Ovis aries: one gene and its partner. The protein of the gene in region 1 interacts with the protein of each later gene in a pairwise test. Links are inferred from orthologs where the notes say so. Each region holds a gene or a part of one and is shown on either strand. Other genes may lie near its edges.

What was found.
Region 2: the proteins of TSKS (region 1) and TSSK2 interact in binary tests that used the Homo sapiens proteins (3 or more experiments, as listed by UniProt). The link is inferred for Ovis aries from reciprocal best matches to the Homo sapiens genes TSKS and TSSK2.

Annotation. Positions count from the first base shown.
Region 1 is NC_056067.1:55,855,925-55,859,728, forward strand, and holds part of TSKS (testis-specific serine kinase substrate), read right to left. Parts: intron 1,192-3,804; exon of another isoform or gene 1,168-1,191; coding exon of another isoform or gene 1,090-1,167; intron 1,001-1,089; coding exon 905-1,000; intron 699-904; coding exon 615-698; intron 331-614; coding exon of another isoform or gene 304-330; coding exon 220-303; intron 1-219. UniProt on the Homo sapiens protein: May play a role in testicular physiology, most probably in the process of spermatogenesis or spermatid development.
Region 2 is NC_056070.1:72,624,599-72,628,875, reverse strand, and holds TSSK2 (testis-specific serine/threonine-protein kinase 2), read right to left. Parts: upstream 2,610-4,277; 5' UTR 1,596-2,609; coding exon 522-1,595; 3' UTR 506-521; downstream 1-505.

The DNA of each region.
Region 1 (3,804 bases):
TCCTCTCCCTGGGACCTGAATATGACTGTGCGTGGAGAAGTATGACCATGAACACAAAGGAGCAGGGGGGTGGCGGTGGTGGTGGTGGTGGTGGTGGTGGTGGTGGCGGCGGTGGTGGTGGTGGTGGTTGGTAGGGCGGGAAGTCCTACCCGAAGTCCACCTCGAGTACCTCACATACTTGAGTAACTTCCTCAAACCTTTAGACCCCCTCCGCCTTACCTCCAGCAGAGCAGAATTCTGCTTCAGGACGTTGGTTTTTATTTCAGCGTCTTCCACCGACCGGGTCACCTTCCGGCAGTTCTCCTGGGTCAGGACACCAGGGCAGGGGCCCTGCCTTCCCATTCCGGTTCCGTCTCCCAACCCTTATCCTTGTTATTTTCCATGCAGGTTCCACCCCCCTCAGCCGAGACGTGCCCACTTCTTGTGCAAGGACTGTCTCCACCCTTGGTTCACTTGGCTAAAGGGCGGGTTTGTCCTCGGACCTCTCCCACGCTCCCTGTCCGCTTGCCCCCATCTCTCTCCTGTCGACCACTCCACTCCTCCCCATTTCCTCTCACCCTCTTCCTACTCCTGCTCCCTTCTTTCCGCCCCGCTCCTGCCCCTCAGCAGCTCACCTTGAGTTGACTGCAGTACCCTTCTAGTTCTTCCGCCTCTTGCCGCCTTCTCTCTAAATTCTCACTCAGCACAGAGCACTCACTCTGGAGCATGGAAGGGAGGAGGGGTTAGCCAGCGCCTCCAGGGGACACACCATGGGGAGGAGAGGTGGGAACATCCCTTTCCCTTCTGAGCCTCAGTCTCCCCCAGCTGGGCTATGGGTGCATTGAGCTGGAGGATAGCTCAAAGAAGGGGAACGTGGCCCCGGAAGAAGAGGAGGTGTTGGCGGGGAGCGGGGTGGCCCTCACACCTGCAGCGTCTGCACGTGCTGGTTAACCCGGGTGGTCTTCTCCTTCAAACTGGTGATGGAATCCTTGGCGCGCACCAATCCACTGTTGACCCCACTCTGGGGAAGAACCAGAGACAGCCAGAGGTCAGAGGGTGTAGGGGAGCAAACCCCAACCCCAAGAGAAAGTCTTAAAACTGGCTTTACACCTGGCTTCTGCCCTGGAATAGCTGGTGGAATTGGGGGCCAGGGCTGCGCCTCTTTGATTCTCGGTGTTCTTGCTCCATTAAGCCAGGGGGCAGACTCTTTTTCTGCTTAGTGGATGGGAAGAAAAATAAGTAGGATCCAGGAGGGAGTGGGGGGTTGGGGGTTGCTCAGACATGTGGGAGAAGGGGGATGTTCTTAACCTGAGATAAATGCCTTTGGGTCCCGAGACATAAATAAGATAAACTGTTAAAACACATGCCCTGTCTTTCTCTCCAGGCAGTGGAGAATTCTAAAGATAACCCACTTTCCAAATATAAGCACTCACTATGCACCAAGTCACGCACTTACCCACGTTTTCCCATTTATTCCCCACAACCGCACCTCTTGAGGTTATTTTGGCGCATTTTGCAAGGGAGGCAAATGAGGCCCAGAGAGGAGATGTCCTTTGTATTCCCAGGTACATGGTATGTGAGGTGCCCTTGTCAGAATTTATACTCCGAACCATTGTTTTAAACCATGATGCCGTGCAGCTGCTGATCATAGCTACCTTATATCATCATAAAATGCTTTGTGACCCCTGTCAAAAAAACTGGCTCAGGAAGGCTGCATGTGACAGGATCTCCACTCTCCTGTCTTCCACATTTATAGAAGAGTTAGCCTGGCACATGACTGCCCAGCCAAAGACTACATTTCCCAGGTGCCCTTGCAGCTGGGCAAGCTCATGTGACTAAGTTCTGGCCAATGGAATATGAGTGGGAATAATGTAGGCCATTTCCAATTCATGCCTTTAATAAAAGAAAGTAGGGAGCATACTTCCCTTTCTCCCCATGATGTTGATGGCCAAAGCCAGGGCAGCCATCTTGAACTATGAGATGAAGGACACAAGATAAAAGAATATTGAATTCTCAACCCTGTGAAGCTGCCATACTCAATTCCAACCACTTTCAGGTACTTTACATGTGAGAAGGAGAACGTTTTCCACCTTGTTTATGCTACTTTGGGGACTTCCCTGGTGCTCCAGTGGCTAAGATTCTGGGCTTGAGTTCGATCCCTGGTCAGGGAAGTAAGATCCTCCATGCTGCAACTAAGAGTTTGCCTAAACACATGCCACAGCTAAAAATATCCTGAGTACAGTAACTAAAGACCCTACATGTCACAAGGAAGACCCAGTGCAGCCAAATAAATATTTAAAAAGCCCAACACTGCTACTTTGTGTCTTTTTTGTTACAGCAGCCAAACTTGTGACTTAATAACTGAGCCTCCAGAACCCTGGGGCCTCTGACCTGCTATACTTGAGATGTTTATGTCAGCAATAAACTATCCTGCTTCAACCAGATATTTTGGTTTTCTTTCACAGCTGCTAAAGTAATACACAAAGAAAAGAGAACAAGCTTCCTCCATTGTAAAATGGGAACAACCTCACATTTCTTGCACAACTGCTCTGGATAAATACCATGATAAATACTGTATTAAGGTGATATCAGCAAAATGGAGGAGTTGGAAACCCCCAAATTCCACCCCTCAATGAGAACAATGAAAAAAAGTGACCAAAACCGACTCAAGTCATTGGGAAGATTACAACAATCATAAATATATATGCACCTAATAGAGCTTCAAAACATATGTATCAAAAACTAACAGAATTGGGAATTCCCTGGCAGTCCAGGGGCTAGGACTCTGTGCTTTTACTGCCGAGGGCCCAGATTCAGTCCCTGGGTCAGGGAACTAAGATCCCACATGCCGCGTGGCACAGCACCCTTCCTCTCCCCTCAAAAAGAAAGAATGAATTGAAAACTAGAAAGTAGATCGGCAAAGAGACAGAAGACTTGAACAACACCATAAACCAACCAAACCTAACAGACATCTATAGGGCATAACACGCAACAGCAGAACACACATTCTTCTCAAGTGGAATGAAACATTCTTCATATGGTCAAGGACAGACCCTAAAGGATATGAAAACAAAGTGTGCTTTCTGACCTCAAAGACCTCAGTAGAATGAAATTAGGAATCAAACGCAGAAAGAAATTATGAGGAACTCACAAGTATTGATAAATGGAAATTAAACAACACACACTCATAAATAATGGGTGGAAGAAGAATCACAAGAGAAATTATACTTTGGAATGAGAGGAAAATGAAAAAAGATTACAGTGGAGAAAATAAAATAGAACAGTAGAGAAAAATCAGCATGCCGGAAGTTGTTTTTTTTTTTTTTTTAAAGATCGACAAAATTGCCAAATTCTTGGCTAGATTGACTATGAAAAAGAGGAAGAATACTCAAATCACTAAAATCAGGAAAGAAAAAGGGGACATTACTACCGGTCTTAGGGAAAGAGAAAGGATTACAAGGGAACTCTATGAACAATTGGATGCCATTAAATTTGATAACCTAGATGAAATGGAAAAATTCCTTGCAAAACACTAACTGCAGAAGAGATAGGACATCTGAATAGCCCTATAACAAGTAAAGGGTTTGAGTTAGTGATTTTAAAACTTCCAACAAAGAAAGCCCAGATGTCTTTACTGGTGAATTCTACCAATCTTTTTTTTTTTTCAAAAGAGTTGCTGCCAAATCATCTCAAACTCTTCACCAAAAAACAGAAGAGGAGGAAACTGTGAAGCCAGTGTTACCCTGATGCCAAAACCAAAGACACCACCAGATAGTAAAACTACAGACCAGCATCCTTTCTGGAAATAGCCACAAACATTTCAAC
Region 2 (4,277 bases), on another chromosome or scaffold:
AGGAAAGGGCTGCTTTTAATGCTTCGTCCCAGTAGGGAAGGGTGGGCGTGGGCCTGAGAGAGCCCCAGAAAGTGGGGTTGGAGGTCTGGGGGGGCCCGAGTGAGAGGCAGAGCAGGGGGCGGGAGGGGGGCCGCCAGAAGTTCTGAAGGGCCAAAGGGCGGGCGGGCGTTGAGGACGGGCTGCCTGAGGGGCGCGAGCGGGGTGGGAGGGCAGCGGGGGCCTGGTGGGAGGCCGCGGACTCCATGCCCACAAGGCCGGCTCCCCGGAGCCCCCTGGCCGCAGGGAGTGGGTGCTGAGTCCCAGAGAAAAAGACTCCGCGCACCTCTCTGCTGTTCACTGTGGTTTATTTGGTGGTCAGGGTTTAAGGTCTCTGCTACTAAGTGGAAGGAAGCTAATAGAACGTAATCAAAATAGCGGTTTAATTGACGGACTTTACTCGTTCTTGCACCTGTGGCTTCTTCGGCTCCTACCGCCCACTCAGCCCCCGGGGCCGCGCGGCGCCACGCATGCCCCCCGGGCCCTCAGCACCGCTCGGTGCTTGCCTTCCCCACCTCGGCCCCGGAGACGTGGGGGTCCTTGCCCCTGGAGGCTTCGGCCAGCCGCTCCTCCACACGGTCCTCGGTCTCGGGCACCACGAGCAGCCGGTGCTGGGTCTTGGCCCCCAGTTTGTGGTCGGGCCGGTGCTCAGGCCGCGGGTCCAGCTTGCAGTCAGCCCGGTACTTGCCCTCGCCCTCCCGCTTGAAGGAGGCGGAGGGCATGGCCTTGGGCTTGGGGGGCTGCAGCCACGCATGGCTGAGGATCTCGTCGATGTGCAGGCGCCGGGTGACATCCGGCTGCAGGATCCGGTAGATGAGGTCCTTGCACTCGCCCGTCAGGTGCTTGGAGCGCGGGAAGTCCACGCGGTGCTCCTTCTGGATGCGCAGCATCTTCTTGACGTCGGAGTCGTCGTACGGCATGGAGCCGCAGACCATGATGTAGAGGATCACGCCCAGGCTCCAGATGTCGTACACCTTGGGCTGGTAGGGGATGCCCTGCAGCACCTCGGGGGCCGCGTACGCCGCCGACCCGCAGAAGGTCTTGCTCAGCGTCAGCCGGCCACTGCCGTCCCGCAGGCAGCGCTTGGAGAATCCGAAGTCGGACAGCTTGATGTTGAAGTCCTTGTCGAGGAGGAGGTTCTCGCACTTGAGGTCGCGGTGGACGACGTCCAGGTCGTGGCAGTACTTGACGGCCGAGGACAGCTGCCGGAACATCCTGCGTGCCACGTCCTCGTGCAGGGCCCCCCGGCACTTGATGAACTCGAGGAGGTCACCCTGCACGCCGAGCTCCATCACAATGTAGATGCGGCCGTCGGACGTCTCGAAGATCTCGTAGGTCTTGATGATGGAGCGGTGGTTGACGGTCGCCAGGATGTCCATCTCCCGGGGCAGGAACCTCTCCACGAAGTCGGCGGGCGTCTTCCTGCGGTCGATGATCTTGACCGCCACGTTGAACTTGAGGCGCTCGGAGTAGGCGGACTTGACCTTGGCATAGGAGCCCTTTCCCAGGTTGATGCCCACGATGTAGCCCTTCTTCCTCAGGACCGCGGCATCGTCCATGGCGCCCGGAGCGGCCCGCGCCGCCGCCCTCTACATCCCCCCCCCACGCGGGCCAGCGGACATCGTCCTCGACTGCGCTGCGGGGAGCCGTCTGGCCAGGCTGGGCCTGCACCTGGAGGTGTGGAACGCCCAGCATTGTCCCCGCGTGACTTCAGCCTGTGAAGTCACAAAGCCAGGCTGCCCAGGGTGGGAACTGGGTGGGGGACGGGCCCCGGAGCCCTGGAAGGCTGACTGGGCTGGCAGAGCCCTGCGGCCCGCCGGAAGAGAGGAAGCCGGCGCCCAGGACTGCTGCGGGCTCGCCGTGCCACCCTGGGCTGAGTCAGGCTGGGGCCGCCCAGGTCCAGCCAGCGTGCCAGGCCCCTGCAGCGGATCCTGTCCCTCCAGGGAGGGCTGCCTCCCCGCCACTGCCTTGAGGTGGGATGAGCACCACCTCTGGGCCGGGCCTGGGAGGGGCCGCCTGGATCCCGGGGGACGAAGGTGGCTGGCTAGGGTGGAGGGCAGCTCGGACTCTGTGAGTGCCCAGCCCCGTGGCCTGGAGCCCTGGTGGGCTGGCGTTCCGAGGGCAAGAAGAGTTGAGGTGCAGGCAGGGAAGGGCCTGGGGGAGGTGGGCGTTGTGGGAATGGATGGGCCCCGGCACCGGGGTCGGGACGTGGAGGAGAGGGGCGGGGGTCGGGACGTGGAGGAGAGGGGCGGGGGGCGGGGGCTGCAGGAGCCGCTGGGACCGAGCCCCGCTTTAAGACAGGTCCTGCGGGAGCACGTAGCCAAGGGCGGCCAGAGCCTGTGACCGGGCAACAGGCGGCTGGCGGGGGCAGGCCGGTGGGGCGTGCACACAGTGGGCGGGGCCCGAGGCGGGGGCTGGGGGCTGGGGAGGGCGCCCTGAATTCCGTCACTTGGGCCTCTGTGAGCACCGGGATCCTGGGCAGGCGTGCCACCTTCGCGCCTTAGACTGTCTCTGCATCTGGAAACGGCGTCCGCCTGCTCTGTTCTTGCCCGGGCGCCGAGGCCCCTGTGGGCGCAAGTCGTGTTCACGCGCCCTCGCGGCCTGTCTCCAGGACGGGTGCTCGGAGGAGGGGGCGTCCTGTGTCTGGGTGGGTGGCGGTGACCCAGAAGCCCCGTGCCGGGGTTCAGCGGGGCTCGCCAGCTGCTGGGAGGGGAGCACGCACACACGCCCGGGCGGGCGCACAGAGCTCCCTGCAGGAGGTCCATGCGGAAGGCCCCGGGCAGGGCAGCCGGGCCCCGAGGCCAGCGGCAGGGACCTGCCCGATGCCTGCAGTCTCCTGGGGGCTTCGGTAGGAACCAGTGGAACTATAGAGGGGCCAGCCGCGAGGCCCCCCAGGCCAGGCGCCCTCCCTGCCTGTCTCCCTCGCCCCCAGGACTCTGTTGGGGTTGCCCTTTGCTGCGGTGCCTGCTCCCCACGCCCTCCCTCGCCCAGGACGCTGTGGCCTCTGGTTCTCCAGGGACGTCAGGCCTGCAGACTCGGGCGAGCCGCAGGGGCCCTGCCCAGAACGTGCGTGCTGGACTGCCGGAGCCCCCGGGGCGGGGTCAGACTGGACGGGCTTCAGGGTGCTCCTGGCTGCAGGCCTATGAGTGCCAGACCGCAGGCTCTGGGACGCTGCCCTTGGAGCTTTGAGGGTTGGCCTCAGGCCCCGGGTGACCGGAGTGGGCCCTGCCTTCCCAGGGCCCAAGGTGGCTCAGCATCACCCAGGGTGTGAGTGCCCTGTGGCTGGGCCGTGGCGGGCACACACAGCTGTGGACTCGCGGAGGCTGAGGGCTGAGGTCAGACCCCGTGGAGGATGGGGACAGAGGTGCCACTGAGGGTCTGCAGGGCCAGGTGGTGAGAGCGTGCGGGGCGGGAGGCGCACGGCTGGCCCAGAGGCCCCACCGAGGGTCCCGGGGATCGCTGCGGGGGCTGAGCCTGTCTGGGGCAGTGGGGCGGCTCAAAGGATCGACCGTGCCCCAGGCCACCTCGGGAAGGCCTCGCAGTGGGGCCTGCTCCGCGCTGGGTGGGTTCAGGTGGCCACCCGCCCCCTCTGACCTGTGCCCCCGCCTGGGAAACACACAGCTTTTGCTCCTTCCCGAGGCCCCTCCCCGCAGCCTTGCCCCCAGGCCCCCATGATCACTGCTGACCCGAGGGGGAGTTTGCAAGCCTCCTGGGGCGAATGCATCCGCGCTGGCCCTGTGCACCCTGGAATCCCGCTCCCCCACGGTGCAGGCTTGTGACCCCACCCCCAGGACTGCTCCATCTTGGGCCCTCGCCTGCCTGTCCGGGCAGTGGCCGCCAGAGGCTTCGTGTGTGGAGGCTGCGGCCCCTCAGCGGAGCCTGGAGAGGTGGGCAGGGGCTCAGGGACCGGTCCACCAGCAGGGCTGGGGTCCACGGCGAGCTGCCGGGCAGCCAGGAGGAGGCCAGACCTAGGAGGACTTTAGGGGCCAGGCGTGGAGATCCTTGCTGCAGGCAGCAGAGCCGGACTGGGTGCAGGAGGGGGGCCTCGGCTACCGTGGGAGGTGACAGAAACACGGGGATGGGGTCCAGGCGGTGGCCACACTGTGACGCCCAGGGGTGCGTGGCTGTAGCTCTGAAGGGGCTGGGTGGGGGCAGGGCCCTTCCGGACGCCGGCAGGGGCAGGAGGAGGGGCCGTGTCTGCAGGCCCCATTTCCTTGGCGTGTCAGACCCACAGGTGCATG